2 linked regions of the Diceros bicornis minor genome follow. The protein of the gene in region 2 purifies or fractionates together with the protein of the main gene of each other region. This does not show direct contact. Links are inferred from orthologs where the notes say so. Each region holds a gene or a part of one and is shown on either strand. Other genes may lie near its edges. The genes, in order: BIRC2 and CD40.

Evidence for each region.
Region 1: the proteins of CD40 (region 2) and BIRC2 purify together in Homo sapiens (affinity purification with western blotting; 4 studies listed by BioGRID and IntAct, with this or other methods). This does not show direct contact. The link is inferred for Diceros bicornis minor from reciprocal best matches to the Homo sapiens genes CD40 and BIRC2.

What each region holds. Positions count from the first base shown.
Region 1 is NC_080746.1:32,610,960-32,627,520, forward strand, and holds the start of BIRC2 (baculoviral IAP repeat-containing protein 2), read right to left. Parts: upstream 7,395-16,561; 5' UTR 7,007-7,394; intron 5,800-7,006; 5' UTR 4,540-5,799; coding exon 3,642-4,539; intron 3,540-3,641; coding exon 3,440-3,539; intron 1-3,439. UniProt on the Homo sapiens protein: Multi-functional protein which regulates not only caspases and apoptosis, but also modulates inflammatory signaling and immunity, mitogenic kinase signaling, and cell proliferation, as well as cell invasion and metastasis.
Region 2 is NC_080758.1:15,288,279-15,304,385, forward strand, and holds the start of CD40 (tumor necrosis factor receptor superfamily member 5), read right to left. Parts: upstream 7,568-16,107; 5' UTR 7,507-7,567; coding exon 7,456-7,506; intron 4,357-7,455; coding exon 4,278-4,356; intron 3,946-4,277; coding exon 3,820-3,945; intron 3,337-3,819; coding exon 3,190-3,336; intron 2,827-3,189; coding exon 2,733-2,826; intron 127-2,732; coding exon 65-126; intron 1-64.

The sequences.
Region 1 (16,561 bases), on a different chromosome or scaffold from region 2:
TAATAACTGCTAATCTTTCTCCAGTGTCTACTCTTCCATTACATTTGAAGCATCAACACTCCCTTCAAAAACACTGAATCATTTTCATCTATACATAATGTGACAGTGTTTCCCAAATACTTGTTTTCAAACTACTAGAACGTCTCAAAGGTGTTCCAGGAAGTTCACATAACGTGTTTCCATTTCATTCCTTTTGTTTTTCAACAAATGGTGCTACACGTCTTGATATCCATATGCAAAAAACAATGAACCCTGATCTGTGCCCATGCTATATACAAAAATAAACTACAAATGAATCATATACCTAAATGTAAAACCTAAAACAATAAGACTTCTACAAGAAAACACAGGAGAAAATCTTTTTTTGTCCTTAGGTTAGGGAAAGATTTCTTAGCTAAGAAACCAACAGCATAACCCATAAAAGATAAAATTGATAAACTGATGTCATCAAAATTAAAAACTTCTGTTCATCAAAAGACACTGTTAAGAAAATGAAAAGACAAGCCACAGACTGCAAGTTTTCAAAACACATCTAATAAAGGACTTGTATCTAGAATACATTAATAACTTTCAAAACTTAGTAATTTAAAAAAAAACAACTTTAAAGTGGGCAAAAGATTTGAACAGATCTTCACCAAAAAAGATATATAGATGGCAAAGAAGCAAATAAGAAGTTTACCATCGTTAATCATTAAGGAAATGCTAATTAAAATCACAGTGAAATACCACTACACATCTATTACAATGGCTAAAATCAAAAGGACTGACAACACCAAGTGTAGTTAAAAATGTGGAATATCTGGGGGCCAGCCCCAGGGCGTAGTGGTTAAGTTCGGCACACTCTGCTTCAGCAGCCCAGGTTCAGTTCCCAGGCGTGGACCTACACCACTCTTCAGCCACGTTGTGGCGGCAACCCACATACAAAGTAGAGGAAGACTGGCACAGATGTTAGCTCAGGGCTAATCTTTCTTAAGCAAAAAAAGAAAATGTGTAACACCTGGAGGTCTCATACATTGCCAGTGGTAATTTAAAATGGTGCAGCTGGGGCCAGCCCAGTGGCGCAGCAGTTAAGTTCGTGCATTCTGCTTCAGGGGTCTGGGGTTCGCTGCTTCAGATCCTGGGCGCAGACCTACTCACCACTCATCAGGCCATGCTGAGGCCACGTCCCACAAAGAAGAGTTACAACTCTACAACTATGATACACAACTAAGTACTGGGGCTTTGGGGAGAAAAATGAAAAAGAAGAAAATTGGCAACAGATATTAACACTGGGCCAATCTTCCTCAAAAAAATAAATAAAATAAAATGGTACAGCCATTTCAGAAAACAATTTAGCAGTTTCTTATACAGTTAAATCAAAACTTGCCATACAACCCACAAGTCCCACTTCTAAGTATTTATCCAAGCAAAATGAAAACATATGTTCACAAATGTTTATTAATGTTTAGAGTGATTTTATTCATTATCGCTCCAAACTGGAAAGAACCCAAATGTCCCTCAACTAGTGAATGGGTAGAATCAGTAGAGATCATACAGGCATGCTCAGGACTCAAGGTTATCACCCAGATAACAGAGCTACTTGTCATTGTGTTCTTCATCTTTATATAATTTTAAATTATTTTTATTCCGGGACTGATTAATTTATATTCATAATGATTAAAGACAGGAAGTATAACGAACCCTGGCTGCTCCATACTTCCCTTTTCTCCAGTGAATTCTATGAGGACACAGATTTTTGTCTGTCTTATTCACTGTTACATCCCCAGTATCTAAAATAGTATCCAGTAGGCACCCAAATATTTGATAAATAAACAAACTGTGTTAAAATAAAGTGATAACAATTATCCATTTTGACTTTTCATTTACTGAGATTTAAGATTATCCACAATTGAAATTTGTTGATTTCAGAAGTGATTACAAAAAGCACCCCTAAGCCTTTTGTGTTATTTAACCATTTAAAACAAAACACAAATTACAGAAACAAACCAAGATTTTGTTTTGTTTTGTTTTGTTTTATAAAGGACAAAATGCAGCAATTCAAACACTGAAATTGGAAAGCTGTTTTGGTCTCTTTAATACTATATTAGTTAAATTTCAAATTATATGTACACAATCCCATAGAGCCAGGCATAATTAGGTCATTTAAAATTCTGACAATAAAACATGCTTTTTCCTACATAAATGATTAAAAACAAACAAAATATATATTACTTTCCAGAGTTAGAAAGTCAAAATTTATCTTGATATATTATGAATATTAAAGATATAATTTTAAAATACAACTTTTAACAATGTACTAATCCATAAAAAAATATTTCTCACTTCATATTTCTTTTGTATCTTATATTATACAAAAATGACAAAAGGATTTTTTAATTTCCTGAAGGGGTTCAAGAGATTCCTCATGATTGTGAAAGGTACTCACAGGTCAAACATTATCTACATTATACAATTCCACTTATATGAGGTGCCTAGAGTAGTCAAATTCATAGAGACAGAAAGGTGAATGGTGGTTGCCACGGGCTGGAGGGAGGGAGGGAGGAATGGAGAGTTAGCGTAATAAGTGCAAGTTTTAGTTTGGAAAGATGAAAAAGTTTTTAAATGCACAGTGGTAATGATTGAGGAACAATATGAATGTACTTCATGCCAAAGAACTGCACACTTAAAAATGCTTAAAATAGTGAATTTTATGTTAGGTATATTTTACTACAATTAAAAAAACAACAACAACATTATCTAGTCCAATCTCCTGATTTTACAGATGAGGAAAGAGGTTCAAGGGATCACATGGCTTGCCCAAGTCGACATAGCTACTCAAAAACAAAAACAGAATAAATTTCTAATTCTATTTCCACTAACAACATTGCCTCTAAATTCTTTCTAAGCCATGGTAAAAAATAAGAGATACTGCTAGAGACAGAGTGACTAAAAGGACATAAGTGACATATCACAAGATAAAACTGTATAGAAAAAATAATTTACAATTATAATAAGACTTAACCAGCTTTTATTATATGCATTTTTATATTTGTCTTATTCCTAGATCCATTTTATGGCTCCCTTCTTGTTTTCCTGTTCCCTTCTTACTGTTTTCTAACTTATGCTCCTTTTGTTCTATTTTACATATCTTCATAATCCTTAAGTCTTCTTTAAAGTAAAATGGGAAATATGTAAATGAAATGTTTGGCCATAATTGTAAATGCATCATCAAGAATAAGTTAAATTACATCCCGAGTACATGGCTTGCAAAAGAAGAAAACACAGAACATTCTACAACATTTTTCATCAAAATAATTAACGTTAAAACTTCGTATTTTAAAAGACAAATTCCCCAATAGTAAAAGAAACTGTTATATTAAAATGTAAATTTAATCATGAAAGCATGCCTACTTCTCTTAAGCACAGAGCTTTGTGTAGAAATACCTTTCAAAACAATTACCTCGGAAACCACTTGGCATGTTCTACCCATGGGTCATCTCCAGATTCCCAACACCTTAAGCCACCATCACAACAAAAGCATTTGACATCATCGTTGCGACCTAAGGAAAACAAAAAACTAAAACTGAATACACACATATTCTAACATGTAAATCAAAATGAACTAGATAAAATGTATAGCTATATATTAGATTGTTTCTTACCCACATAATAGAATCCAGCACTTGCAAGCTGCTCAGGCTGAACTGGTACACTAGATGGCCAGTACATAAATGTTCTCAGTCGAGCTGCATGTGTCTGCATGCTCAAATTTGAAATGCTAAACCTCAGCGTTTCCAGAGAATTTTCCAAAAATGGACAATTGGGGAAATGCCTCCGGTGTTCTGACATAGCATCATCCTTCGGTTCCCAGTTACTTAGAGTCCCACCACAGGCAAAGCAGGCTACCCTATCTCCTGGTCCTATATAATAAAAGCCAGCTTTTGCCAATTCTGATGGTGACAAAAAGGTTAACGGCCACATATGGTAAGTAAGAAATCTAGCTTCTTCAGTACTCATTGCATAACTGTAGGGGTTAGTCCTCAACGGGGAGAAGTCTTCGACTGCTCTAGAATTAACAAGGTTTGGTGAAAGGTTAGAATAAGAACCACTGAATGACCCACTATGTTCCAAAGTGGGAGATAATGAATGTGTAAAACTGTTTCTCATTGGAGAAGTATTCTTAGAGGTGGATTCCAGACTAGTAACAGAAATCAGATTCTGAATAAAGCTACAGCTAGGATATAGCTGTTTATGCTTTTCAATAGGATTGTCTCCTTGTTTCCAGTTATCCAGCATCAGGCCACAACAGAAGCATTTGACCTTGTCATTCACACCAGTGTAATAAAAACCAGCACGAGCAAGACTCCTTTCTGACACAGGAACACCGGTGGGGAAAGTTGAATACGTAGACATTCTGTAGAGTTCACATGAAAAGTCATATTTCATTTTCTGTTTGTTGCCGACTGTCCAACTTGATAAGACCGTGCTATCTTCCATTATACTCTTAATTTTTTGATACGAGGGACCTGGGACAAGTCTTTGGGAGGTAGTTTTGTGCATGAGTGATTTTACTTTTGAATGGCTAAAAACCTTCACATGAAATTTCTCATCTCTTCACACTAGATTTTTACCATAAAGAATCAAATAAGCTCCTACTTATGTAAAACTCACTAAACCTTCTTTACTGGACTTACACCTGAGTTTACACTCAGGTAGGATGAATCTCTCCCCTCAATTACCAAGATACTATTTAGTACTCTTTGGGATTATATTAACTCTTTTAGGTAACTTAAGTGTTATGTGCTTCTTATTTGGTGCAATACTAACCTAATGGCCTGAATTAAGTTGATATACTTCTAAAAATAAGTTAAAACTCCTTGATTTTTCAAGTGGGTTTATATTCCCAAAATTCTAAACAACTGTAGAATACCTAAGTTATACCTTTAATTTGCTTCTGATTACAGCCTACAAAGCCTAGATGTCAAGCCAATTACTAATTATGCTACAAGAGGAAAAATCTATATTCAAGATTCTTTCCCTACAAGTACTTTAATATGATATATAAAAAAAACCTTGTTTTATTCTAGTAAACAAGAACTAAAGTCTTTGTATGGTCACATTATCGAAAGGCTAATTTCACATAGCTTATCATCATAGTATTTACTTAAGTGGGTTATATTAGCTTCAGCTAACAACTTTTGGGGACGTCAACACCCACAAGCTTTATTGAACTTATGCTCATTATAGTGTGTATGATATCAAATGAAATTAATTTTGCTTAAAGCCCACAAACTGCTAAATCTTCCATCTTTGTTAAATATTGTCTATATTTGTTTCCATTTCCTGCAGCATCATTATGTTGCCTTTCTTCCTAACTGCATATCACTTTATTACACTTGATCAACTGAAAGTATTTTCTCCATAAACTTAACTAGTTAACCATAAAATTGCCACAGCTGAAACTTTTTACACTCCATTTAAAAATTAAATCATCTGTCTTTCACTTAAGGTCATGCATCTATTATACACTCATTTTGTAATTAAAGATAAATCAATTTATCAAGATACAGCTTGTCCTTTTTAGTGTTAATACAAATGCCTAACAAAATATTGCACTACCAAGAGAATTACTGCTTCTGCAAAATGTACCAGTAATTATCCCTAGTAGCATTCTTTCTGAAAACCCTATTCATACACAAAATTACACTCCACAGAATTCAAACTATATCCCTTTATAAAGTTTCTGGGTCTCCATAACGGGATTTATTACTGCAGGGGGAAAAAAGAGGGGGAAAAAGTAGACTCTTCAGAGCTGTAAATCTGAAAAGAAAAAACAAAAGCTATTTTAGAAAACTATCTTCATGTTAAATAGAACTTACACACTCTTCAATTTATTCAGTGAAGTCTTAAAAATGATTTACACTTTAGATAATACCACATCTTAATTCCAGCAATTTGTCTCCAAAACTTTCTAAATGGAAAAGCTCTTAATTCAAATAAATGCCATATACCCCCCTTAGCACTAACTATACATTTTTTTTTAAACGTACAACTTTGAAGACAGATGGACATTTCCAAAGAGGAAAGTATTTTGTCCTTGGTCTCCTCCCCTTTTCTGGTGACAACTTTTAACGGTTTAAAGATGATATCTCTGGCAGTTTGCTAATAGCAAAAGGGGACAGCGGTGAAAAAGAGAGACTACATCCCATCAGCAACAGTACAGCAATAATTAGACAGTGATGTTATTTTTGAAAGTCACATCTTTCCAGGACTAGGCAAACTGACCAGTAAGCGTAAAATGCATCAGAAACTCATTAATATAAACCCTTAAACTCTACAACTCCCAAGCCACAACCACAGAAAGCAACTCGAAAACAAAACATAGCACAATGGGAAAAACACTGGCCTTGGGAACGTGACCACTGCACAAATGCTTTCGTTCCACCAGGACTTGATATCATATCTTTAAATTTGTATACACAAACACCGTACTGTGGATTCTGCCATCTTCATGCAAACTGTAGCCGGGTGGGGGGATAGATTGCAAGGGAAAAGAAGAGAAACTGTGGGATTTACCCACTGATTTCCCGGAGTTACTTCTCTCAATACACAACAGACTCCTGAAGTGGCGGAGCACAGCTCGAACTCTGAAACGTGAGATGTGGCCGCCACACACCTGTCTTCGTTTCAACATATTAAATTAAAGGAACACCGAGGGTTAAATTAAATTCCTGCAAAACCTCTATGAGAAAACATCTTGGTCAAAGTCCAAGGGCCGAAAAGTGGGCGGCGGCCAGGGCGGGCGTGCAAACAGGTCAATTTTTATCTCCGACTTCGAGTCTTGGAGCTGAAACTTCCGAATTAAAAAGCCTCGGGGAGAATAGAGAGAGCCAGTGGAGAGAGCTCACCGCGACCCGCGCCCCCCGGCCCCAGGGGCCCAGGGCCTGCCCTCCCTGGCCCAGCCGCAGCTTCGGGGAAGCGGGTCCCCGCGCGGCCCGGGCCCGGGCCCGGAAGGAGCTGCACTCACCGCAGTGCCGGCGCAGCAAACACGGAAACAGCGCGGCTGCCCGGCGACCTCCACAGACCCAGAGCAACGGCGCCGACAGAAGACAGGCCCGCCGGCTCCGGTCCGGCGCTCCCGAAGCCCCCCGCCCAAGCAGGGCCCACGCAGACGCACGGTGACGTCAGCGCGCCTGGCCCGGCCCCGCGTCACCGCCGCTCGAGGGCGCCGGGGAGTCTGCGGTCCGAGAGCGGGAGCGAGGGCGCGTCCGCCTGCGGGAAGTTGGTCAGCCCGCGGGGCGAGGCGCGAGCGTCCACATCATCTCGGTGTTTCGATTTTTAATCTTGCAGTTTGAGTAACGTTTCCTTCTCTCTCAGTCCCTGACATTCTCCTGACGGGGACGTGGCAAACGGGGAGCCGTGGAGTTTGAATCTTGGGAAACCCTGCGGAAACGCCCCAGTGCCGGCGGTTTTGCGCCTCTTCCTCCGCGTCACCTCAGAGTTATGATCCAGCATCTGGCAAAATTCCTCCGGGGTGACACCTCCGCTCGTCTTAGATGAGTGCACTTGAAGATGAAGTCAACCTGGTGGCATTTTTGCTTCAATTAAGTAAACAGTTGCAACCGTTTTAAACAGTTGTAACCGTTTTGCCTCAGAGCGCAGCTGCGTAGCATCAACATTACACAGCCGGCAGTGGAAATGAAAAGCCAAGTGGTTGGAAAGTAGAACAGCGTCAGAAGATTAATTTTGAAGGCTTGATTTTATCATCTCTTGAGGATTATATATCTATTTTATAATCAACCAGTGTATCTTTTATTTATAAACATTGTTTTTAAACTTTCGGTTTTCTGTTCTGGAGACATATGCACTAACGAAAAAGTGTCTTGTTGCAAAACTCATCGCTAGCAACATGAACGGTGTTTTAGGCCAGGCTTCACTCCCGGGTTTTTCTGAATGTGACTAAAATGGAATGTGTACATTCATATATATGCGTGTGTATACATAAATCGTGCGTGAACCACAGAGGAGCCCACTTCTCAATGAAATTTTTAAATAGTTCACTGATAGAAAAATTCTAAGTAAAAAATCTTGGTGTTACTAGTTGTGGGCGTTTTGTGTCCCTCCTCTTTAGTAGTGCCGAAATGCAGAGGCGTGCAGTGTGTGTTTGTTGTATTGCAGGGAAGGAATTTTTTAATTTACTTGTGTGAAGACACTCTTTGTCAATGAAATCAGATGCTTTCTTCTCGCAGGGGAACTCCAGGGGACAAACATTTCAAAAACTTCCAAATAACAAGCCACTTAATTAGGCAGCCAGGGGAATTCCAAGACCCTGAACCATTTCCCATTTCCTGTCCCTGTCATTTCTGCCTGCCAGTCAGTCACAGAACAGGAGATCTTCTGTTCCAATGATAATAATAAAAAGAAAGTATTTGTAGCAGTTTGTGATACAGAGAAAAGAAATGCCATGGCTCCCAATGACTAAAAACTTCCAAATATGCACATGAATTTTGATAGTTCAGTATTTAGTCCAAGTCACTCTTTCTCGGAAAGTTACAGAATCTTCCTTATATATGTGGGAAAATACATATAGCAAGAATTGTTCATTCCGAGTTCAAGATTATTTCTCTTTTTCAGTTCTTGTCCTGACCAAAAAGTAAGATAATGAATATACTTCAGTATTGGGGAAAATTCGAATTTCAAAAACCCAAAGGCCTTAGACATTTTCCCAAAAAAGTATGTAATAACATTCAAGTATAATATTACTTTATAACTTTTAATCTTGTATAACCTTGTAGTTTGGCGTTAAATCTATTCAATTAATTTTTTTCATATTTCAAGTGTAGAATTAGGTTGCCATCCTAATATTTTTCACATTTTTGTAGAAAAAATATTTATAGGATCCAAGACAATTTTGAGGAACATAAATAAGATGGAGGGGACTTGTCCACCAGATAACGAGTTATTTAATAAAGGCATGGTAATTAAGACAGTATTGTATTAACACAAGGATGGACAAATAAACAAAGGGACAAGTTAAAGAACCCGGAAAAAAGACATATATATATGAATTTGATATATGACATTGATATTATGTATTAGAGAGAAAAGGATTAACTAGTCAATAAGTAATGTCAAATAACTGATTATTCTAATAAAAAATAAAATTAGATCATGACCTTAAACTATTAAAAAAATTCCTGGTGAATAAAAACCCAAAAAGTGAACAGCTATCATTATCATCTGAGGATTTAAACGTATCTTGTGAGTTGTAATCCATTACAGTTATTGTCATTATCGGTGCCCAAAGTTGTTTAATCTCAGGCCAATGGGAGCTTATTCATATTGGCTCCTGAGTCCTTTCAACATGGCCCTAGTAGTCTTTGATTGCTTTTCAGGCTGGTTTTGTACATTTCTTACCCCATACCTGTAGTAAGCCATTTATTCCAAGTGCCCTGTTTCCTTTCATGGGAAATAGTATCTGAAGACCATAATCTGAATGTTTGTGGTGCTAATTATTAGAGTTGTATTGTTTTTATAACCTATTCCATGGACAGAGTTGGGTAATATGGTCTTGTTTTGTTGTAGTTTTTTTTTTTCCCTAATAAAATGCATCATGGGGCCGGCCCCGTGGCTTGGTGGTTAAGTGCGCACGCTGCGATGCTGGTGGCCCGGGTTCGGATCCCGGGTGCGCATCGAGGCACCACTTCTCCGTTCATCCTGAGGCCGAGTCTCACATACAGCAACTAGGAGGATGTGCAGCTATGACGCACAAATATCCACTGGGGCTTTGGGGGGAAAAAATAAAATAAATAAAATCTTTAAAAAAAAAAAAAAAAAAAAGTTTTAAAAAAAAAAAAAAAAATGCATCATGAACTCTTCCAATTCAAATTCAGGAATTCAAGGTTTTATTTAACCTCATTGATCGTACATCTGTGACTTTCTCCCTTCGCACTGAAAAATCCTTGTTCTCACCTTTACTACTCCCTTCCTGCTCCGTAGGTAATGATTTAAACATTTTTTATGGTTCATTTTTTCATTTTAAAAATATAGTTAATTATATATGTTTATCCATAGCTCCCTTTTTCTTAGATATATGATAGCGTTCTTTTTCTCATCTTTTTTCACTTAATAATAAATTCTGGTGATCACTCAATACTAGTATATATAGAGAGATATTCCTCATTTCTGCACAGTACTCCACTGTGTAGATGTAGCATATATTCAACTAGTACCATAATGTATTCAACTACTTCCCTATTGATGGACATCTGGGTGGTGTCCAATATTTTGCTATTACAAACAGTGATGTAATGATAAACATGGACATACATCTTATTTTAGGATATATTCCCAGAAGTTGGATTGTTAGGTCAAATGGTAAATTCATATGTAATTTTGCTAGATATAGCCAAATACCCCTCCCGCTCCATGGGAATGTTAGCATTTTACAATCCAGCCAGCAATATATGTAAGTTCCTTTTTTCTGTACAGCTTCACCAGGTGAGTATGTTGTCAAACTTTTGGATTTTTGCCAGTCTATCAGATGGATATTTCAGCATAGCTTTAATTTCTTTGTTATGAATGAGATTGAAAATCTTTTCATATGCATCAATTGCATATGTAACATTTTATATATTTTTTTAAAATTAAGCATAAAAGAATATTAGGATTGGTTATGTGGTATTGTTAAAGGAAAAATTATTCTGACACTTGTTAAAATGTCAGTAAGTAAGGAACAACAGAAGGAAGACTTTATTCAGGACTATCGCATGCAGTAGGGGAAAGAGATCAGGCTCAACTCTGAATACATCAAAGATGGCTGAGGATTTATAGCCAACCAGCAGAATGAGGGGAGTCAGTGGATGTATAATTACTTAGTGGAGACATCAAGGGCAGGGGGATTCTTGCTGAATATAGGCCGAGGGCTTATATATCAAAGGTGGAAGATAAGGAATTTGGTCAGATATCAAGGGTGGGGGCATTCTCACTAACCTGACTTATAGCAGAACTGTTGCTAAGATCAGGATAGGTGGGCCAAAAGTGGGGTGGGAGGTGACAAATGGAGAAGGCACTGACTTAAATCTGCATAACAAACTTTACCCTGTTTACCATGCTTTTCCTGGTAACCTCCCCATAACTGGCCTCCCCACACTCTTGATTTTGTCTTTAGCTGAAGATGGTATTTAAGCCTGTGGCTTAATTCACCTCAGGGAGTTACTCATCTTTCCTTGGGTATCTCCCACGTATAAATGAGGTATGCATATTAAACTTCTGTTTGTTTTTCTCTCGTTAATCTGTCTTTTATTACAGGGATCTCAGCTAAGAACTCAGACGGGTAGAGAGAAATTTTTTTCTCCCGTATGTCAGTATATACTGAAGGGGAGGAAAAATCTCTTCCTCTGCCCATCTTAGGTTCTCCAGCTGGGGTCCTGTAAATTAGACTGGCCAAAGATAGATTATCAAGAGAAAAACAAACAGAAGTTTATTAATATGTGCGTTGCACGTGTTCAAATGAGAACCCTCAGTGATGAGTAACCCAAAGTGGTGGTTAGAACTTAGGGTTTAAATACCAACAAAGGAAAAGAAGTTTTGGGCTTCCGGATAAGAGAGGCAAGTTATAGGAAGGTCACCAGGAAAAGTATGGTAAACAAATTGTTTTGAGAGGGATATCACCTAGATGGCAACATAGGTCATTCCTGACTTCACCCCTCCTCACAAGAAGAACTAACACCTGTTCAAGAACAAGACACCACGGAGAGAATCCTAGAACATGGGGGTGAGGCTAAAGCACCACTCTGCACCTCAGAGACCAAGACAGACTGCAATAGAAGGGTAAGAGGAGAGGCTACACATTGACTGCATTGCCCCTCCCCCAGGCCAGCATAGCAACACGTGGAGAGGTCTCCAGGAGCCTCCAGTGGTGGCTTTTCCTCCAGTGGGAAAAGAGAACCCAGGGAGAACAACCAGCCCCCACCTAGCATTGGGGGGGGAGGGGTCACTTTGTAGGAGTCTCTACTCTGATCTCACACCATGGGGATTACAGGGGAATCTGACTGTGATGGAGGAAAGGGGAGGGCTTGCAACAACTAGCACACTGATCTTCGCAGACCGAGTTCCTACCTGCAGTGCCAAGTAGTAATCCCAACTAGCAGCTTTGCTCATGTGCAGAACCAAGTTGGGGGTGCACTCTGACTAGGGAACTCAGCAAGGTGCAGATCTGCCTGATTTGGATTCTCAAACGAGTTTTGCCAGCCCTAGAGCCTGGTTTGCCCAAGCCCAGGCAAGGTGCTGAGTCACAGCCCCACCCGCTGTGGAGAGGGTCTTCTGGCTCTATCTGACCAGAAGGGCTGGCAACAACTCCTGGAAGCTGTGCAGCCCAATGGCACACAAGCCGAGAGGCAGGCAAGCAGAACTGAACATCCCCAGAGCAAACCCAGTACTAGGCATGGAGGCTTCCCATGCTACAATCAGTCAGGGGGATTAATTAGTAGCTAAGGCTGAGGGTAGCTCCTGACCTCTCCCAACCAGAGAGCCTGTTTGGGAAATTGAGAGTAGCCTGGAGGGGCCCCCTCCCCCTCACGCTTAGGTGAGGGGGCTAAGACATAGCCCCATCTGCTGTGGAGTGTCTTCTGACAACATCTGACCAGAAGGGCTGGTGAAAACACCTGAAACCTGTGTGGCCCAGTGGCACTCGAGCCAAGAGAAGGGCAGACAGAGCTAAAAGTTTGCAGAGCAAAGCCAGGGAACTTGGCTTTGTTCAACCAGGGAACTTGGCATGTGGTCAGCTTGAATTAAGACAACAAATAAAAAGCTTTACTGGTTTTACAGCTGCTTCTCCTGCTGCACTGATGTAGGGAATCTCATTTGCAGCCCCACTCATTGCTGAATACAGCCTTTAGCCTGTCCAACCAGGGAACCTAACCAGAGCACACAGGAAGCTGTATAGCCCATTCAACAGCCCTACATATGGTGTTGCTTGAACACAAAGCACAGCTTGTGGCTTCCTCCCATCTGCAGAGCAAAACCAGTGGCCTCACCTTACCAGGGAATTCAGTGCACACTCAGGCCTGATTTGGGCCCCCAAGCAACAAGCTGTACAGGCCCTGGGACATGGCCTGCTGCTCTGCCAAGGCAGGGAAGCTAATTCATAGTCCAATCTACTACTGAATATAGTACCCAGTTCCGGTCATCTAGTAAGCCTAACCAGAAAATTTGGGCAACAATGGAGCCCATCCTACAGCCTCACCTGGGTAGAGAACCAAGCTAGCAGTCCTATCCAACTGTTCTCAGCCAGTGCCACACACGCCCATCCCTGTCCTCAGAACTTGAACAGTTGCCTCACCCAAGAATAGACCATAATAGCAGGCCCCACCTACCCCAAGACATTACCAGCAGACACATCCATAAACCCAAACTGAGCTGACTGGTGAAGAACTGTCTCTGCCAAAGCAAACCTGTAAAGTCTGGAAAAGGAGCCCCATTATTCAAATGTGCAGATACCAACATAAGGAATCAAGGATCACAAAAAAGATAAATGTGATGCCACCAAAGGAAATTAATAAATCTCCAATAAATGACCCTAAATAAATGGAGATCTATGAACTGTCAGAAAAAGAGTTCAGAATAAGCTTCTTAAAGAAGTCTAGTGAATTACAAGAAAACACAGAAAACTAAACAAAATTAGGAAAACAATGCATGAAAAAAATTAGAAGTTTAACAAGGAAATAGCAACCATCAAAAACAAATAGAAACCCTAGAGTTGAAAAATACAATAACTGAACTAAAGAATTCAATAGAGAATTTCAAAAGTAGACTCAACCATGCAGAAGAAAGAATCAATGAGCTGGAGGATAGGACATTGGGAATTACTCAGTCAGAGGATCAACAAGAAAAAAGAATGAAAAAGAGTAAAGAAATCCAGAGAATACTGGGACACAATGAAAAGAAACAATATTCACATTATGGGAATTCCAGAAAGAGAAGAGAAAGAGAAAGGGACAGAAAGTATATTTAATGCAATAATGACTGAAAACTTTCAGAACCTGGGTAGAGAAATGGACATCCAGATCCAGGAGGCCCAAAAGATCCCAAATAGGTTGAACCCAAAGAGGGCTACACCAAGACACATTATAATTGAATTGTCAAAAGTCAAAGACAAATAAAGGATTTTAAGAGCAGCAAGAGAAAAGAGAAGTTACATACAAGGGAACACCCCCTAAGATTATCAGAGGATTTCTCAACAGAAACTTTTCAGCCCAGGAGAGAGTGGGATGACATATTCAAAATATTGAAAGAAAATAACTGTCAACCTAGAATTCTATACCCAGTGAAGCTGTCCTTCAGAAACAAAGGAAGGATAAAGACATTCCCGAATGAAAAAAAGCTGAGGAAGTTCATTACCACAAGACTTGCCTTACAAGAAATGCTAAAAGAAGATCTTTAATTGGAAGTGAAAGAATGCTAATTAACATCATAAAAACACAGAATGGTAGCATAAATCTGGTCATGGTAAATATATAGTCATGGTTATATTCCGCAATGTGGTAATAGTGGTGCATAACTCACTTGTAACCCTAGTTTAAAAGTTTAAAAAAAAAGGACCATAACAAAAGTAACCTTAAACGAAATAATCTGTTATTGGTTACACGATATAAAAAAATATGTAAATTGTAACGACAGTAAAAGTGAGGACGAGAAGTTACTGTGAAAAGTACATGAATTCTATTGAAGTTAAGTTGTTATCAGTTTAAAACACAGTCTTATAAGTTTAAGATATTTTATGTAAGCCTCATGGTAACTACAAGGGAAAATCTTGTAGTATTACACAAAAGAACACAATAAAGACGTCAAAGCATATTGATACCAAAAGACATCAAAACACAAAAAAAGACAGCAGGATAAGAAACAAGGAACAACAGATCTACAAAACAACCAGAAAAAAATTGACAAACTGGCAAGAGTAAGTCCTTACATATCAATAATTACTTTAAATGTAAACGGATTAAATTCTCCAATCAAAAGACATAGAATGGCTGAATGGATAAAAAAACAAGATCCAACAATATGCTGCCTACAAGAGACTCACTTTAGCCTTAAAGACACACATAGGCTGAGAGCAAAGGGATGGAAAAAGACGTTTCAAGCAAATGGTAACCAAAAAAAAAAGAAAGAAAGAAAAGCAAGGATAGCTATATTTATGTCAGACAAAATAGACTTTAAACTAAAAATGGTAAAAAGAGACAAAGAGGGTTGTTATATAACAATAAAGGGGTCAATACATTAAGTTTTAACAATTGTGAATATTTATGCAAATATTCATATTTGCATATGAATTATGCTCTGACTATGCAACATCAGAGCACCTAAATATATAAAGTAAAAACTAACAGAACTTAAACAGTAATACAATAATAGTTAGGTACTTTAATACCCCATTCTCAACAATGGATAGATCATCCAGACAGAGAATCACTAAGGAAACAGCAGATTTGAACAACACTATAGACTAAATGGACATAGCAGATATATACAGAACATTCTATCCAGCAGCAGCAGAATACACATTCTTCTCAAGCGCATATGGAACATTTTCTAGGATAGGCCATATGTTAGGCCACAAAACAAGTCTTAGAAAATTGAAGATTGAATTATACCAAGTATCTTCTCTGACCACAATGACATGAAACTAGAAATCAATAACAAGAGAAAACTGGAAAATTCACAAACAAGTGGAAATTAAACAACACTCTCCTGAACAACCAATGGATCAAAGAAGAAATTAAAGGAGAAATAAAAAAAATTCTTGAGACAAATGAAAATGGAAACACAACACACCAGAACTTATAAGATGCAGCAAAGCAGTTCTAAGAGGGAAGTTCATAGCAATAAATGCCTACATTAAGAAGCAAGAATGGGGAGGCGGAGTCAAGATGGCGGTGTAAGCAGACTCGGAACTCACCTCCTCCCGTGGGCACAGCCAATTTACAACTACTCGTGGAAAAATTACCCCTGAGACAGAACTGAAAACTGGATAAGAGGAACTCCCGCAACAACAGACAACCCTAACTGAGGTAGAAGAGGCAGAGACTCCCTTCTGGAGAGGAAAAACGCCGCCTTCACAAGCCACCAGCTTCATGGCCCGCCGGGAGCAGCTCACAGGTACGCAGCCTCCCTGGAGGCGCGGGGCCCTGAGCTGGGGAGCGCCCCCGCTGTGGGCATTTTGTGGACCCAGCACAATCGAGATCAGCGGCATAATATCTGACTTTGCGTGCTACTAAAACACTGGGGAGCACCCCCAGAAAACCCGGTTCACAAAGAAACTAAAACTGGCTCTTAAAGGGCCCGCTCGCAAACTCACCCGTTTCAGAAAGCATCCTAAAATCACCAGAAAGAAAGGTGCACAGTGCTGTGGTGAAAAGAGACTCACCTAATAGGCCCTGAGTGCATCTCAGTGAGGGGTGAGACCTCTCCAGGGACTGGGACATTGGCGGCGGCCATTGTTGTGGCCAGGTGTGGGCGTGCTGACACAGACGCCATTGGAGTTCTCCCTGGGGCCTGCTAGCCCAGGGTCTGCCCCACCTGC
Region 2 (16,107 bases):
CTGTCTCTCCCCTCAGTTCTCCACCCTCCTAGCCTGCTGCCAGGGCCCATTCTCCAGGACTCACCACAAACAGCATCAGTCTTGTTAGTCCCTGCCTGTAGCTCCACCAGGCCTTTCGTCTCGCAGCTGTGTACAGACACATGTGCGCACACACACACACATACAAAGAGACATTAAGTTTCCCCAGTCATAAGATTTCCAACCCCCGTGGGAGACAGTCAACAACAACAAGTCCAGGTTCACTGAGCAGCTATTACATGTAACCTCCTAGGCTGGTTATTATGAGAATGACACAGACTCTGTTCTTATGGAACTCAGGAGTGCAGAAAAAAGATTGTTGCACATCTTGAAGGAATAATAATAGGAGAGTCTCTAAAGAATGCCAAGCTTTGTAACAGAGGCTAAAGTGAACCGGTAATTGTTCAGAGAAGAGGAGACAAAATCCACAATGGCTGGAATGGAGAGATGATGAGTTCTGCCACATAATTCTCTGCTGTCCTGTATATCACAGGATGTTTAGCAGCATCCCTGGCCTCTACCCACTAGATGCCAGTGGCATCCTCCTCCCCAGTCGTGACAACCAAAAATGTCTCCAGATATTGTCAAATGTCCCCTGGGGGACAAAATTGCTCAGTTGAGAAGCTCTGGTTTAAGGGTCATCCAAAAAGACTTCCCTGGGGAAGTTAGATCTGAGTGGACCCTGGAGGATGTAAAATTCTGAGCAGCAGTACATTCTAGCTAAGCAGGACAACGTGATATGAGGGATTAGGTGAGCGGCATGCCAGATGGTGTTAGGGAACTATGTAAAATGGGTTCTTTAGAACCAGATCACTGATAATCAGCCAGGAAGGTTTTGACTGGATTCAGCGGGTGAGTCACATCAGCATCCAACCCTATGACTTCAGTAGCGAGAGCACTCAGCTGGCCAGAGAGCTCACAAGAGGAGAATTACAGAAAAGTGGCCACCAGCAGGCCACTGCAGGAGTCGAGATATGAGATGATGAAGACCCAGTCCAAGGTGGTCCCCGGAGGAGTGGGGAGGGACAGAGAAAGACACCACAAAGAAGAAAACATCTAAAGTGGAGAAAGAGAAAGAAGCTTCAAAGTAAGCACATGCATGAGAAGACTCTTACATGAGAAGAGTGCCCAAGAGTTTACAAAACACTTTTACATGTCTTTTCCTCAAGCCTGAGAGAGGAAGGTCATGCCCATGGTCCAAATGAGGACACCGAGGCTCAGAGAGATGAGGGTCACACACTGACACGGGGTCACACCCTTTCTAAGCTGCAGCAAGGGTGGAACCCAGTGCTCTGACTCCACTACACCAAGGTGCCTCCAGTTATCATCCAGCATTTATGGAGCAGCTACTATGCATCCGGCACTGTTCTAGGCATAAGGGATGCAGCAGTGGAAGAAGAAAAAAGCCAAGTCTCTACATTGAAGGAGTTTGCTATCTACTGGAGAAAGGCAGACAGTAAACAAATAACAAAGTACGTATGGGATGCTACTACTGTGTGGACTCTATGTGTGTCTGCATGTGTGCATTTATTTGTCTGTACATAGAATCTCTGGAAGGACACACAGGAACAGGGGCTGCCTCCAGGGAGAACTGGGTGGCTGAGGGACAGGGTAAAAGGGAGACTTATCTTGATAGGCCCTTTTGTGCCCATGCGCTCGTCTTACCCATTTTTAAAAATTCAATGTAAAAGTTAATTGGGCGTGTGTATAAGGGTATTCCAGGCAGAAGAGTTTGATGCAAGAGAAGGAACAATGTGTTGAGGGGATTGCAAGGAGCGTGATGCGGGGAGAGGTCAGGAAATGGAGCTGGAAGGTCAGAGGCCATGCGAAGGAGACTGAGTTTCATCCTAGAGGCATAGAGAATCATGAAACATTTTAACTAGGGAATGCCATGATCCGAAATGAGCCGTAGAAAGCTCACTTTGGCAAAACAATGGAGAACCAGCTGAAGGGGAGAGAACAGAGGCAGGGTGGCTGGTGAGGAGGCTAAGACATCATCTAGACCATGGTGATGAGGCCCAAACTAAAGTGGGGACAGTGTAGATGGCGAGAAGGAGTCGTCCCAAAACATTTGGAAGGCCAGACGCACAGGATCTGGTGACTGATTCGGGGTTGGAGGTGAGGGGGGACCATGGGACGAGTGCCCATGGACATGATGGTGGCTTTCACAGATGGTGAGGGGAGGGGGAAGGTGAGTCCATTTGGGGCCTGTGGGTCACCTGCGTGGAGGTGTACTCTCGGCAGTTGGATATGACAGTGTGGGACCCAGGAGACAAATCTAGACAGAAGATGTTGATTGGAAACCATCCGAAGAGATGGTAGCTGAAGCCATGGATATGGATGAGATGGCCCAGGGGAGGCAGGCAAAGTGATTGGATAGTAGAACCTAGAACAAAGGCCTAGAAAATGAGTTAAGGAGGAAAAAGGAGAAGGAGCAGAGGAGGGGTAGATGGAAAGTAAGAGAGGTGTCACAGTTTCCCCAAGAAGGGAAGATTGAGAGATCAACAGTGTCTATTACCACCAAGAGAGAGCAGGCAAGAAAATACTGAAAGGTTGGCCATCTAGTTGGCCACGAGGTCACTCTAGGAGTTCTACAAGTGCACGAGTGTGTGTGGACACGTGGCGCAGGGGCTGAAGGACAGGTGGCCAGAGAGAATGGAAGCAGGTCCCATGCCCCTCTTGGGGCAGGAAACACAAGGGCTGAATCCTTATACCTTGTCCAGGAGTGACACTTTTCAAAAGCAGATGATACATTGGAGAAGAAGCCGACTGGACAGGGCTCGCAGATGGTATCAGAAAGCCCTGTAGCTGGGAGGAAGGAGGAGGCATTAATCATCCCAAGGACCACCTGTCCGGCCCTTGAGGGAATCGGTGGACAGGCAGGGCAGGAAGAGCCGCCTGCTCTAAGCACCCTTTCCCCAGCATATCGCTTCCCCAACTGCTGCAGCCCCTAGGAAGGCTCCTTCCACTGCCCTCCCAAGACAGACACCCATGGCGGCAGGTGGAACGAAAAAGGTTCCATTTCCTGCTCACTCTGGCGGAGATTCCACGTAGGTTGGAGTCCCCATTCCCTCCGCCTCTGGGGCTGAGTGCCCACTGCCCAGCCCCTCACCTTTGGCCCTTGGCTCCTCTCTCTTGCCTCTAGAGCTGATTCCCAGACAGGCCACTTACCGAGCTGCTTGACCCCAAGACCAGGGGGGCACAAGCTGTGCAGGGTGCAGCTTTCACAGGCATCGCTGGAACAGTGTTGGCCTTCATGACATGTGCAAGTGGCGTCTGTTTTCGAGGTGCCCTCCCTCTGGACCCGGAGGCCTAGGTCTGAGCAGAGACAGGCAGGAAGGATGGGAACTCTTTGCTGGCCATGCTCGGGGCCCCGCTCCTCACACATCCTGATCTTTTTTTCTCAGACCCTCGTCCAAGTAGGGATGGCGATCAAATTAAATAACTCAGACTCCAACCAATCAGAACAGACCTTGGCTATAAAAAAAAAAAAAAAAAACAGAATGGGGGCCGGCCCAGTGGCGTAGTGGGTTCGAATTCTTGGGTTTGGATTCCAAGTGCAGACCTACACACTGCTCATCAAGCCATGCTGTGGCAGCGTCCCACATACAAAGTAGAGGAAGATTGGCACAGATGTTAGCTCAGGGACAATCTTCCTCAAGCAAAAAGAGGAAGATTGGCAACAGATGTTAGCTCAGGGCCAATCTTCTCACCAAAAAATACCAGAATGGCTGCATGGTCAGGAATGAGCTGGAATATCAGCCTGTCTCCCAAGTGCCCCTTCCCCAGCAGCCCACGCACTGGGGTCGCAGTATTTGTGCTGGTGACAACGGTTCTCTCTGTTCCAAGTGTCTAGGAATTCGCCTTCATTGCAAGGAGAGCATTCTGTTCCAGTGATCTCCGTGCAGTCATGCACCAGTTTCTCTCCTGGAAAACATCAGCAAATGAGGCAGCTCCAGCCAATTCAATGAATCAGACACTTACCAAAAACCGACCAGGCTGGGCTTTAGGGCGGGGGTATTCAAAGGGGACAGTCTTGGACCCTTCTAGCCTTCCTAGTCTGGTGAGGGACATGGAAGAGATAGGAACCCTAGTCCTGGGTAGGCAGAGAGGGAACCCAGAACATTCTGACAGCCCTGGGCAGGGATGGAAAATCCCAGGGGTTATTGAAGACTCGAGTTTCAGTTGAAACATGGGGTGTGCATCTGCCAGCAGACCAAGAGGGGTCCCACTATAGAACTAGAGGGTTGGCATCTCACCTGGCGGGCACAAATTACAGCACCGACTGCTTGTTAGGTATTGGTTTCCTTGGCACACAGTGGGTGGTTCTGGGTGGACCTACAAACAGAATCGGGCGATTTGAAGGGATCTTGAAATCTCTGCTGTAGCCTCCCTGGCAGGAAGGTGGAAATCAGCCAGGACAGAGGTTAGAACTGAAGTGGAAGTCCAAAGCAGAAAAATGGAGGCTGCATATAACTTGGTGTGTTTGTTTTTAACTAAATTTCCAACTGGTATGATTATAAAAGCACAGAGAATCATTCTGGTATTCTACAAAGCGATTGCACCGGAACCTCACACTATTCTCTGAAATAAACAGATCTTCCTTTTGGCTTGATTCCTGAGTCCTTCCTCTTCCCAAAGACCCAAAAGCACAGGAGGACCCCAGCACCTCCCCTGGAGTGCTGAGGCTGGCTGGCTTCAGCGGTCCTAGTCTTGGCTGGGGCTATATTTAGCACCTGGCCTCTTCCTTCCAGACTTCTGCTCCCCACCCTCTTCCCCTCTCCAAGCCTCATCATGTTTTCTCCCTCCAACCCCTCATCATCTGATCATCCAACCCCTCTTTCATGAAATGCCAGGATTGTGAAGCTGCAAGGATAAAAATCTAATTCTTTCACTTTACAAATCATGAGACTAAGGTCCAGGGTCACTTACCCAGAGTCACACAGTGATAGAATCCAAATGAGAACTCAGGTCTCAGTACTCCCTCTCTCCATCAACTTGGGTCTCACCTGCACTATTTTTACTATATCCAGGTACCACCCATGCTATTAATTACTTCCTGTTACTCTAAATGCGTTTATTTTAAATTGGAACCTTATATCATCGCCATGAGAGAAGAACCAGTATCACTTCTCATAAATGAAAGGTAACCCTAAAAATAAATTCAACAGAAACAAAACAGTGTTATTAAACCCCAGCTGGCTGCTTCGCTTGCTGACAGCCCTCTGCCCCAGGCCTGCTCTTGATTTTTGTTTAAAAAGGAGGATTAGCAAGTGCTCAAGAGGTATTAACTATATTCTAGCTCCAGAGACTTATTTCTTGAAAATATGAGAAGGATTTTAAACAGAACTGTAAAGTAAATCAATGTTGCTTATAGATTTATATATATATTTATATAGTTCTATATATCCATGCACTTCCTAAAACCTTCCCACACTTTGGGAACACCCAATGAAAACAGCACAAGTTTGAGTCAAACAGCTTAAGGCTCCAATCTTGACTTTGTAACACTTACTAGTTATCTTCCTTCTCTTAGCCTCAGTTTTCACATCTCTAAAATGCCCCACAGATTAGGTTATGAAGACGAGAAAGAATATGTGTATATGGCCTGTACAATGTCATAGTAGGTGCTCATTAAATGGCAGTTTTAATTATCATACATACGTGAATATCTACTTGGATGCTATCTGGCTGACTGTCCAGAATCCTGCCTAATTGGTGGCTTGCATTCAACCTGGGTGGGCAAATTACTTACAGAAATGTACCTTACCCCAGATGGAGAAGGAGGTGGAAAAGGCTGCTGCCCCCACCATCACATCACAATGCACCGCCCTGTGCATGTTCTCCCTGCAATCCTGTGGACCTTCCCACCACACTCTCAGAGCAATGAAACTCCTTTATGCCTTTTTCAAACACATGAGAAATATACAGCTCCTCCTCTGAAAGTCTGTCAATCCTGAGTTCCTACTCCATAGCTCCAGTCCATCTGATGCAAAGAACCCCAGGACCGCGGCTTGGAGACTCTCACCATGTGAGAGGCAGGCTCAGGAATCAGGCAGACGTAGATTTATATCCAGGTTCCACCTAGCTATGAGAATTTTGGCAAGACATTCCCTCTCTCTGAGCCTCAGGTTACTCATCTGTATAATGAGGGAGTTGAAAGAAATCGGACAGAGAAGGCACATAAAGCATTTTGCTCAGAGCCTGACACAGGAAGCTGTCAATAAATAGCCCCTGCTATTGTTGTGGTCACAGCCCAGTCTCTACCTGGAGCCAAAACTGGAAGTATGCTCTTGAGAAGCCCAGACTACCTTTCACCCTACCTCCCTTGGCTCTTTCTCCACTCCTTCCCACAAGAGCCCCCTTCCTCCTCTCTCTGGCTCCACCCTCTTCCTGCCTCCTTTCTCCCTAAGAGCCATTGCTTGGAATGAAAATGAAAGCTCTGGGGCCAGAGCAGCCTCCCGACTGACTCTCTTCCCTTGTTGCTGACCCCCCACTACATGGGTCATTCCTGCGAGACTTCATGCCAGAAACTACAGCCCTCGAAAGTAGGGGGAGCCCAGAGGGGTTGGGATAAGAGGGTCAGGTACTTGGGGGATTCCCAGCCTCCAGAATGAGGAACTACAAAAATATATTTAAACAAAAAGTGAGTCAAGTGTGGGCTTCTGAAAATCCCGGAGATATGCTTGGTTGGGTATATCTGAGCTCTTCTGGTTTCTGGAGAAACCCTTGATGGTCTCCTAACCCTTTCTCGGGTCTTATGAACTGTTCATTTCCCCCAAGGGTTCCCCATGTCATCTTAAATTCAGGAGGCAGAGACAGCCTTGGGTATACCAACTAGATTGGATCACCCAGGATTTGGGGGTGGGGGTGGGAGTGTTAAAAGCTTGCCTTCTCAAAGAGGTACCTGGGCCTCTGCACCCACCCCTTGTTCCCACAAGATGCCCTAAAAGAAAGCAGCCCCAGCTGGTAAAGAGATGATAACAACTCACAGAGGCTGGCATCTGTCCACAATGGGAAAGAGACAGGAAACCGGCCAGATCCGCCCCTTCCCTTGGCCGGCCTCTCTTCCCACTTCCGAAAGCCCTCACCAGTCTCCGCGTGTCAAGCCTCTGAGGCAAACCTAGACTCTAGCCTTTTGACCAAAGGCTTGAGGCTCCCAAAACCCCAACCCAATCCGCACCGTCTATGCACGTTTCCTGCAGTGCCCCCACTACGACAGGCCCTCTGTGGGCTACCTGAGACCCCAACCTGGGAAGAGAGAGAGGCAGCCCACCTCATTCAGCCAGGAGCTGGGTACCTTACCCAGCTTCCACGCACCCTCCTATCCCCCCAAAATCAGCTAGGAAGGTCCCCTCCCCGAAGTATCGCTTCTCTTCCCGGGAAGTTCCCCACTCCCAAACTCCCCGGTCGGGACGGAGCAGAAACGCAACTCACGGTGGTCAACAAGCAGCCCCAGAGCAGACACTGCAGAGGCAGACGAACCATGGCGAGGAGAGAAACAGGCGGCGGAGCCGAGGGCGCGTAGACAGGGTCTCCAGTAACTCGCTTGCCCCAGTCTGTGGCCCCGCCCAGGAAAGGGGCGGGGTCTTCGGGGACCAATCGCCGCAACCAGCCTCGCTGACGGGGCGGAGTTCTCGGCGACTCCCTGCCCTGGGATTTCCCCAGGACATTCCCGGGAGTTCAATTTCCCCGGGAGTTTAGGGACGCGTTTTGGGAGGTGGGGCTGGTCCCAGGGAAAGCCCTTCCTCCTCGCCCCCTGAGACTACAGAGGCCAAGCTGAAGAGGGCAAGGAGCCAGCCGGCTCCCAGCGGGGGCGAAGGGAGGGAAGAGAGAGCCCCACCGGTGCTGGGAAGATGCCACAGGGACCCCCACGGTTCTCCCCCACCGCCTCCGGGAATCCCGGCAGAACCGAAAGCACCTCCACCGCGGATGGCGGGACCTGAGGAAGTTCCCCCCATCCCAGAAAACGGGAAGGTCTCAGCTGGGGTGTGGGAAGAAGGACTGGGGAGGCGTTTCAAGGAAAACAGTTTCCCAACTTAGAGTTTCTCTCTCTTTCAAAGGAAATTCCCTCGTGTGGGCGCAGCGTCCCAGCCTCGCCATCCATTCATTCATCCATCCATGCGTCCCCACCAGCTTCTCTTCCCTCCCAGTTCCCATCCGGCGCCTGGAGACAGGCGTTTAGAGTAGATCCCTGTCATGGGATGGTAGGACCCCTTGAGAGTCTTAGGAAACTCGGGACCCTCTCGTTCTGCGGAAACACACACACCCTTGTGCCTACATTTCCCGGGGTTCCCAGCCCTCCAACCCAATCTTGAACCAGTATTAACACTCTCCGCAATACCCAACACCCGGGTTCTGGTCTAGGCTCTGCCTCTGATGGGCTGGGTTCCCTTGAGCCTCAATTTTCCCTAATGAAACCTGAGGATCTTGAACTAGACAGTAGTTGAGGTGATGACTCTCTAAGCTCTGAATTTCTGGACCAGTACAAAAGGCCAGGCTGTGCAGATCAGGGAGGATGGGAGAGGAGGGAGCTGCTAACCCCATCCTCCTGGCTTCTGCTGCAAAGGGCACATTTGCAGCCCTGTGGATCCTAATCTCTAGAATCCATCCCCTCTTTTCCATCCCCTGTGCTGCTGCCCTAATTAAGAGGCTCATCTTTCACCTGGGCTGTCCCCATAGCTTCACTCATTCACTAAGTACTTGTTGAGCCCCCACTATGTGCCAGGCAACTAACACTTTCTCTCTCTCTCTCGTTGTTCATACTGTTGGAGTTCTCTTTGTAAACTCCAGATCTGATCTGATCCGGGCACTTCACTGCTTAAAAACCTCTTTGGGCTCCCCTATGCCCCCAGAATAGCACAAACCCCTTCTCCCGGCACAGCAAGCCCTTCTCCACTCAGCCCCAACCCCTCTCCCCATGCTCACTCCTAGCCATGTCCTCCCATGCACTTTGGCTTCAGCCAGGCTTGCCTTCTTATTTTCCAAACACACATTGTTTTTTCTTACTGTGTCTTGCTTTTTCCTTACTTCCCTTATCCTTCCTGGAACCAGTTTAAATTTCACTTCCTTTTCATTTAAGCCTCCTCTTAGCTCCCTGAGACAGAGGTAGATACTCCACTCCACCTTAGCCCCTCCCCCTGTTTCCACAGCATGAGGATGCTGAACTGGAACTCCATCTGCCTGGCCTCATTTGGTTGTGAGCTCCTGAAGGGCAGGACTGAATCTCTCCCAGTCCTGGGCACATAATAAGACACCAATATGCATTTGCTGAATGAATGAATAAAGGAGCGAGTGGGTTCAGTAACTTCTCATTCTAAGCTCAGCTTCTGTCAGGAAGGATGTGGGGGCACAAGGTGCAAATCCGGTGGTCGCAACACAGACCTCAAGCCGGTGGTCAGACACTAATAATCTAGGAACGCTTGAAATCAGAGTCTAGGGGGCTTCCTGAAAGCCACCCAAACATGCCTGGCATGAAGAGAAACAGTAAAATATCTTTTCCCTTTTTAATCCACTTTGAGAAAAACAAGCACAGTTTTAATTCCTTCGGGAGTGGGGGGGGCGTTACTATAATAACTTCATCCATTACTTATTCTTTATTTGCTTGATTCCAAAATTGGTCCCTTCACAAAACTGCCTTGGGAAGCAAGTACACAGAATTAAAACATTAATTATATTATATAAAACATATCATAGCAGCAATTAAAGCAGCTTAAATTAATGTGTGAAAGAATAAATAGTAGCCTTCGGGTTGCCCCATGGGGTGAAGACCAGATGAGATAAAGGCAAGATATTTTAGTATATGCATCTCCCAAGGAGACATGTGCTGGCGGGCACAGGCCCAAAGAAGGCATAGAATCTTCTTGGGCTGAGAAGAGTATGCTGAAGGAGGAAAGAGAGAAGATGATTTACGGGGAGGGCAGCAATATTTCAGAGTCCCATCAAAGAGGGGAACTATGAAGGGTTTGATGATGGGAGTAGGGCAAAGGACATTCAAAAGAATGGGGACCTAGGATTTTGTAATCAGATGAAATGGCCTTTGCAGGGGAGTGGGGGTCACAGGGCCAGGTGAAAGAGTGAGAAGCGTGCCTGAGGTCAAGTCCACAGCAGTGCCAGAATCCTAGCGACCAGATGGTTCTAATAAGCAAACTCAACTGTGTTGCTCCCAGCTTTGAAGCAACTCTCCAGAGCCCTCACTTCTTAAGCTCACAGGGCCTCAAGGCCATGGGCTTCCAGGTCTTCATCTCCTACTGTCCTTCCTGCCTTCAACTTGCTGCTCCAGACTGTGCTGTCACCTCTGCCTGGAAACCACTCTCCTTTCATGGAACCAACTCCATCTCATCCTTCAAGACTCAGCTCAGATGCCGCCTCTCTGGAAAGCCCTCTCCAACAGCCAACCTGGGGTGTGCACACCTACCTCCCCATACTCCCTCAGAGCCCTGGGGCTGCTTACCTAAGCAAGACTCCAGCCCTAGCGCACTGTATTTCAATTATTCTGTTTACTCCCAGAATCAGCGTATTAAGATGACTTAATTTGGTGGGACATAATAATGAAGTTTTTTCCCCTAATCTCTGCCTTCAGCCACGCTGTGTTGAATCTCCCTTTTTCATCCATTAGTGACATCTTGGGCAGATTGCATTACTTTTGGATCACTTTCTGTTGTTAAACCTCCCTCCTTGAAAGCTGTATTCTCAAACTCAATTTAAATCTCATTTTATCTTCTTGCTTACTCATCCAAGGATTGACTTGAGCCAAGATCTTCCCTGCTTGGATAAAAAGTGGGGGCAGGGGGGACATGGCCTGGTTGGGAGACATGCCCCAGCACCCTCCCCCGTATTGAAATTGGGAGGAGGGAGTGGGAATGGCTCTCTGCAATAGCCCTCTCCCTGTTGGATGACCCTGCTTCCCTGGCTAACCCAGAGTGGCAAGTGTTCATATATAGTATCTCAGAGGAACATGAGTAAGTTTCTTGGGGGCTTCTCCACTGCACAGTTCTCTGACATGGGGCATCCAGCTCAGGCTTGAGCTTTCCTACCTCGCCCCACCACCTGGGCTCCTGCCACTGGTGGGACCCTCTTGCTCAGCAGTCAGCCTTGCTTGGGTGGGATACCAGAAAGCCTGGCTAACTTACTGCAGTGTCCCGGTAAGTTAGCCAGGAAGTTAGCTTGACCCAGAGAAACTCATGCATCCTGGCCAGCCGCTCAACAATGCCTCCTCTCTCCACCTCTCTTCTCCCCTGCTAGCTGGCACAGAGGGACATCAGCAAGTCTACTTGCTGTAGACCCCCACTGGGGAACAGCGTCCTAGTATCCCCTTCTTGAAGTCAACCCTTAATCTCCATGAGGGATTCCCAATTAAAGAGTAGGGAGAAGGGAATCATCTTCCACCATAAACACTATACTCCTCAATAAAACGAAAGAACTCCTCCCTCCCCAGGATTATTATATGGACAAGGAAGAGGAGAGTAAGGTTTTAGCTAGGGCATATAGGACCCTTTTAATTCTACCCCTTTTAGTAAACTTTGGAGGGAAAGTATCTGGCTCCCATTTGGAATGCAGGGGACATGGGGCCATGGGCCATAGTGCCAACTCACACCCAACTTGATTCCTGGAGAGGAGGATCTTTGTAGCCTGATGCCCACACAGAGCCCAGGCACACGCTGGATACTGAACAAGTGTTTGTTGAGCGAATGAGAGACTATGAAGTAATGAGACTGAAAGGATCCACCAGGATCCACCTGCTCATTCCCACACTGTCCTGGGTGGCTGCCCATCTCTACCAGATGACCGGGCTCTCTAGATGGGATTCCCAGGCCCAACTATGGACAAAAACATTTCCCTTCAGCTCAGCAGAGTTGGGTTGGAATTTATCAAAGGGAACTAAGAAACTCCGGAAAGAACCCAACCAGAAATTAAGGAAACCTGAAAGCCAGCAAAACAGATGGGTGAGTTGACAAAGTATAGAAGTTCTTTGTCAGGATCTGGTTAAAACCACTTACTGACTTGGCTGATCCTGATTCCCAGACAAGCAGACCTCAGGTCTGGTCCTCAGCCTTCTCTGGCTCTGATGTCTGGAATAAGAGATGGCTTTGTTTGGGGGAGGGGATCCAAATTCTTTACCATGGCCTCAAGATCCTGCATGATCTAGCTTCCCTGCCTGACTCCACTCGCCCACTTGCTTGCTACCCCCCAGCCATCCAGGCCTCTTGGTTCCCACCTCAGAGCCTATGTCTGTTGTTCTCCCTCTGACGGAAATGCCCCTCTTCCCACTCTTCATCTTGTGACTCTTGCACCATTCAGGTCTCCTGGCAAATGGCACCTCTTCAGAGAGGCCCTCCCTCATCACCTCATCTAAAGTGAGTTCCTCCGCTACCAAACCACCTTCCCCACTGCTGTCCTCTCTTGTAGCACCTGTTCTAGTCAACGTTGTCATTGCAATCAAGAGAAGACGCAGCTGGTGAACTTAAGAAGAAGAGTACATTATTGGAAGGGTGTCAGGCGACTCATAGAATTGACGAGAAGGTTGAAGAACAAAACTCAGGCAGGAACTGCAGGAGGCAGGACAGAGTCAAGACTCTGCTACAAAACAGGTCTTACAAACCAGCTCTGTGCTAGCCAACCTCCAAGATGGCCAACGATCACCTCCTGTCTTCACATCTTAGTGTAGTTCCCACCCTCATTTCACCAGGGTTGTCCTGTGTGACCAACAGAAACCAGGAGAAGTGATGATATGTCGCTTCCAAGATTAGATTATAAAACTACTGAGGCTTCAGTCTTATGTGCTCTATCACATATTGTCTCTCTCCCTCCCCTCCCTCCCCCTTTCTCCCTCTCTCTGTCTTTCTCTCCCATCAGGCCCTCTGGGGAAGTCAGCTGCCATGTCGTGAGGACACTCAGGCAGTCTATAGAGAAGCCCACATGGCGAGGAACTGAAGCTTCTGGCCATCAGCCACATAAGAGAGAAGCGGATCCTCCAGCCCCAGTCAAGCCTCAGAGGACTGCAGCCCCCGCCGACACCTTGACTGCAGTCTCGTGAGAGACCCTGAATCAGAACCACCCAGCTAAGCTGCTCCTGGATTCCTGACCCACAGAAACTGAGATAATAAATGTTTGTTATTTCAAGCCACTAAATTTTAGGGTAATTTCTTACACAGCAATAGATAACTAATACAATCTCTAACTGACCCTGAACTTGATCATTCCTTCAATGGTCAAAGTCTTGGGAAGGGATATCGGAGTGGCCACGCTTGGCTTACATCCCATATTCTGGCTGCCAGGAGGGAGGAAGAACTATCTGTGCCCTCTTGGCCTCCCTGGTGGTTCTGCCCCCACCCCCATACCCCTCAAATAAGAAGGATGTTCAGAGCAGCCAAAACAATCTATTTGCACTGCAATGTTCCTACAGAACACTTACCACAAGTTGTAGTTCTCTAAGCATTTTTCTCCTTTCCCCTTCCTCTTCCTAAGTTTGGACACACGCCAGATCCCAAAACTAACAGAAACAGATATTCTCTTGGCCGGATAATGTAGGAGAAATATCCTCAAAAGTTAAAAGTCTGATTGACTTAAAAATGCCAAACCCTGGGGCCGGCCTGGTGGTGTAGTGGTTAAGTTCGCACACTCCGCTTCGGTGGCCTGGGGTTCGCTGGTTTGGATCCCGGGTGCAGACCTACGCACTGCTCATCAAGCCATGCTGTGGCAGCATCCCATATACAAAGTGGAGGAAGATGGACACAGATGTTAGCTCAGGGCTGATCTACCCCAGCAAAAAGAGGAGGATTGGCAATGGATGTTAGCTCAGAGCCAGTCTTCCTCACAAAAGAAAAAAAAAAGCCAAACCCTGAGGAAAGACCTATGAAAAGGCAACTTCTTCTCAGTGAATTAATGGGGGAAAAATAAAGTTCGGGAATCAGGATCAAGAGATACAATCCTGGGGCAGGCCTGGTGGCGTAGCGATTAAGTTTGCATGTTCTGCTTCTGCAGCCCGGGGCTCACCAGTTCGGATCCTGGGCGCAGACCTACTCATGCTCATCAAGCTATGATGAGGCGGCATCCCACATAGAAGAACTAGAAGGACCTACAACTAGGATATACAGCTACGTACTGGGGCTTTGGGGAGAAAAAAGAAAAGGAGGAAAATTCGCAACAGATGTTAGCTCAGGGCCAATCTTCCTCAAAAAAAAAAAAAAACAAAGAGAGAGAGAGAGATAATTCTGCATCTTTTCATATAGCCGAAGCCCAGTGAATAATCAGACACTTCCCACTCAAGATATATATATACATGAAACAGACACTTTATTACAGACCAAAAAGTTATCCATGGTCCCATCCTGAAATGAGATCAATGGTTTTATCTGTACTTGTCACCTTTTTGTTCTTGTCCATATAAATTTTCAGATTTTTCTTTCCCAAGGATATCATAGATTTCTTGTTTTACATTTTCCTATAACATTATACTATATGTATTACTCCCACTTTTGTAAACATCTATTTTTTTCTTTATCTTTACACCTCCCTCCTCATAACAGCCTGGTAGGTATCCTTCTTCATATCTAAGGATATGTTTGTTCATTTCATAAGAAAATAAATATATATCATTTTTCTGCAATCACTTTTCTCACTTAACAACATATTGTGGAAATCATTCCAGGTTAGTAGACACAGATCTGACACATTCTTTTTTTAATAACTGTGTAATATTTCATGGTGTGGGCTTGTCAATTCAACCCTTCTTCTGTCGATGTACATTCAGCCTGCATCCAAGCCTTTATCACTGCAAAGCATGCTGTAACAACATACATGCTTGTACATGTGTTCTTATGCATCTGTGCTTTTATTCTTATAGAATAGATTTCTACAAGTAGAATTTGTGGGTATGTATATTGTAAATGTTGGCAGATATTTTCAAAAACACTTGGGAAATTCACATGTATGAAGGCACCTTTACTTTGCTTTCTCTCCATCACCAGATATTATCATTCATTTTAATATTTGACAATTTGAGGGGCGAAGAGAGACATCTCATTGTTGCTGTAATTTACATTTTCCCAACTATTAGTGAAATTGAGCATCCTATCAAATGTTTAGCAACCATTTGGATTTCTTCTTCTATGACCTAAATATATCATTTGCCCACTTTTCTATTGAATTGTCTTTCTTTTATCAATTTCATTCATTGAACAAATATTCATTGAGCACTTATTATGTGTCACGTGTTGGGGTTATGCTATTGACTAGACAAAGTCCCAGCCCTAATGAAGAGCTCTTTGTACAATATCAATATTAACACTTTATTCTGTCATCCATGTTGAAAATCAGCTCAGATGTTTAATTGTACCTCCAGGGTCTCCCCGTACACATTTTCTGGCAGACTGTTAATCATTGTGGTTTCAGATTTTATGATCTAAAAATACCTAATACCAAGCTCCACTAGCCATTAGTTTGTTAGAGTAGAAAGAGCACTTACTCCAGTCCCCTATGTAGCACCTTGTTGGCACCCCACTCTCATGCCCTCCATATACATGTTCCTGTTCCCTACTTCAAGCACCTGTGCTCTTCTGCCTGGGAGCCGTTTATGGCCACAAGAGCATGGTTAGCTCTCGCAGGGGGCAGGACAGAAGTGCCAGAGTTAATGCCCCTGGGAGCAGCCTTCTGCCAATGACGGACAAGGTGTTGGTTCCCCTCCTCGTTTCACTTCCTCCCTCCCCTATCAGTGCTTCCTGGGGCCATCTCCCAAATAAACTAATTGCACTCAAATTTGTGTCTCAGTTTCTGTTTCTGGGAGAATCCAACTGAGACACCTTGATTTGCAGATGACGAGCTAGCAGCAGGAGGTGGTGCAGCTTGGTGGGTAGGAGTGTGGCCTCTGAAGTCAGAGGCCTGGGTCCAAAGCCTGGTTCTGCTCCTGACTATGTGGCCTTATGCATATTCTTAATCTCTAGTTCCTCCTCCATAAAATGGGCCTAATAGCTCACATGGTTATTATAAGGATTAAATTGATTATGTAATTTTCTCATATACCCCGTAAAAAATGCTATTACTCAATAATATTAGAAAATTGAGTCCTAGAGAATACAAGTAGCTCACCTA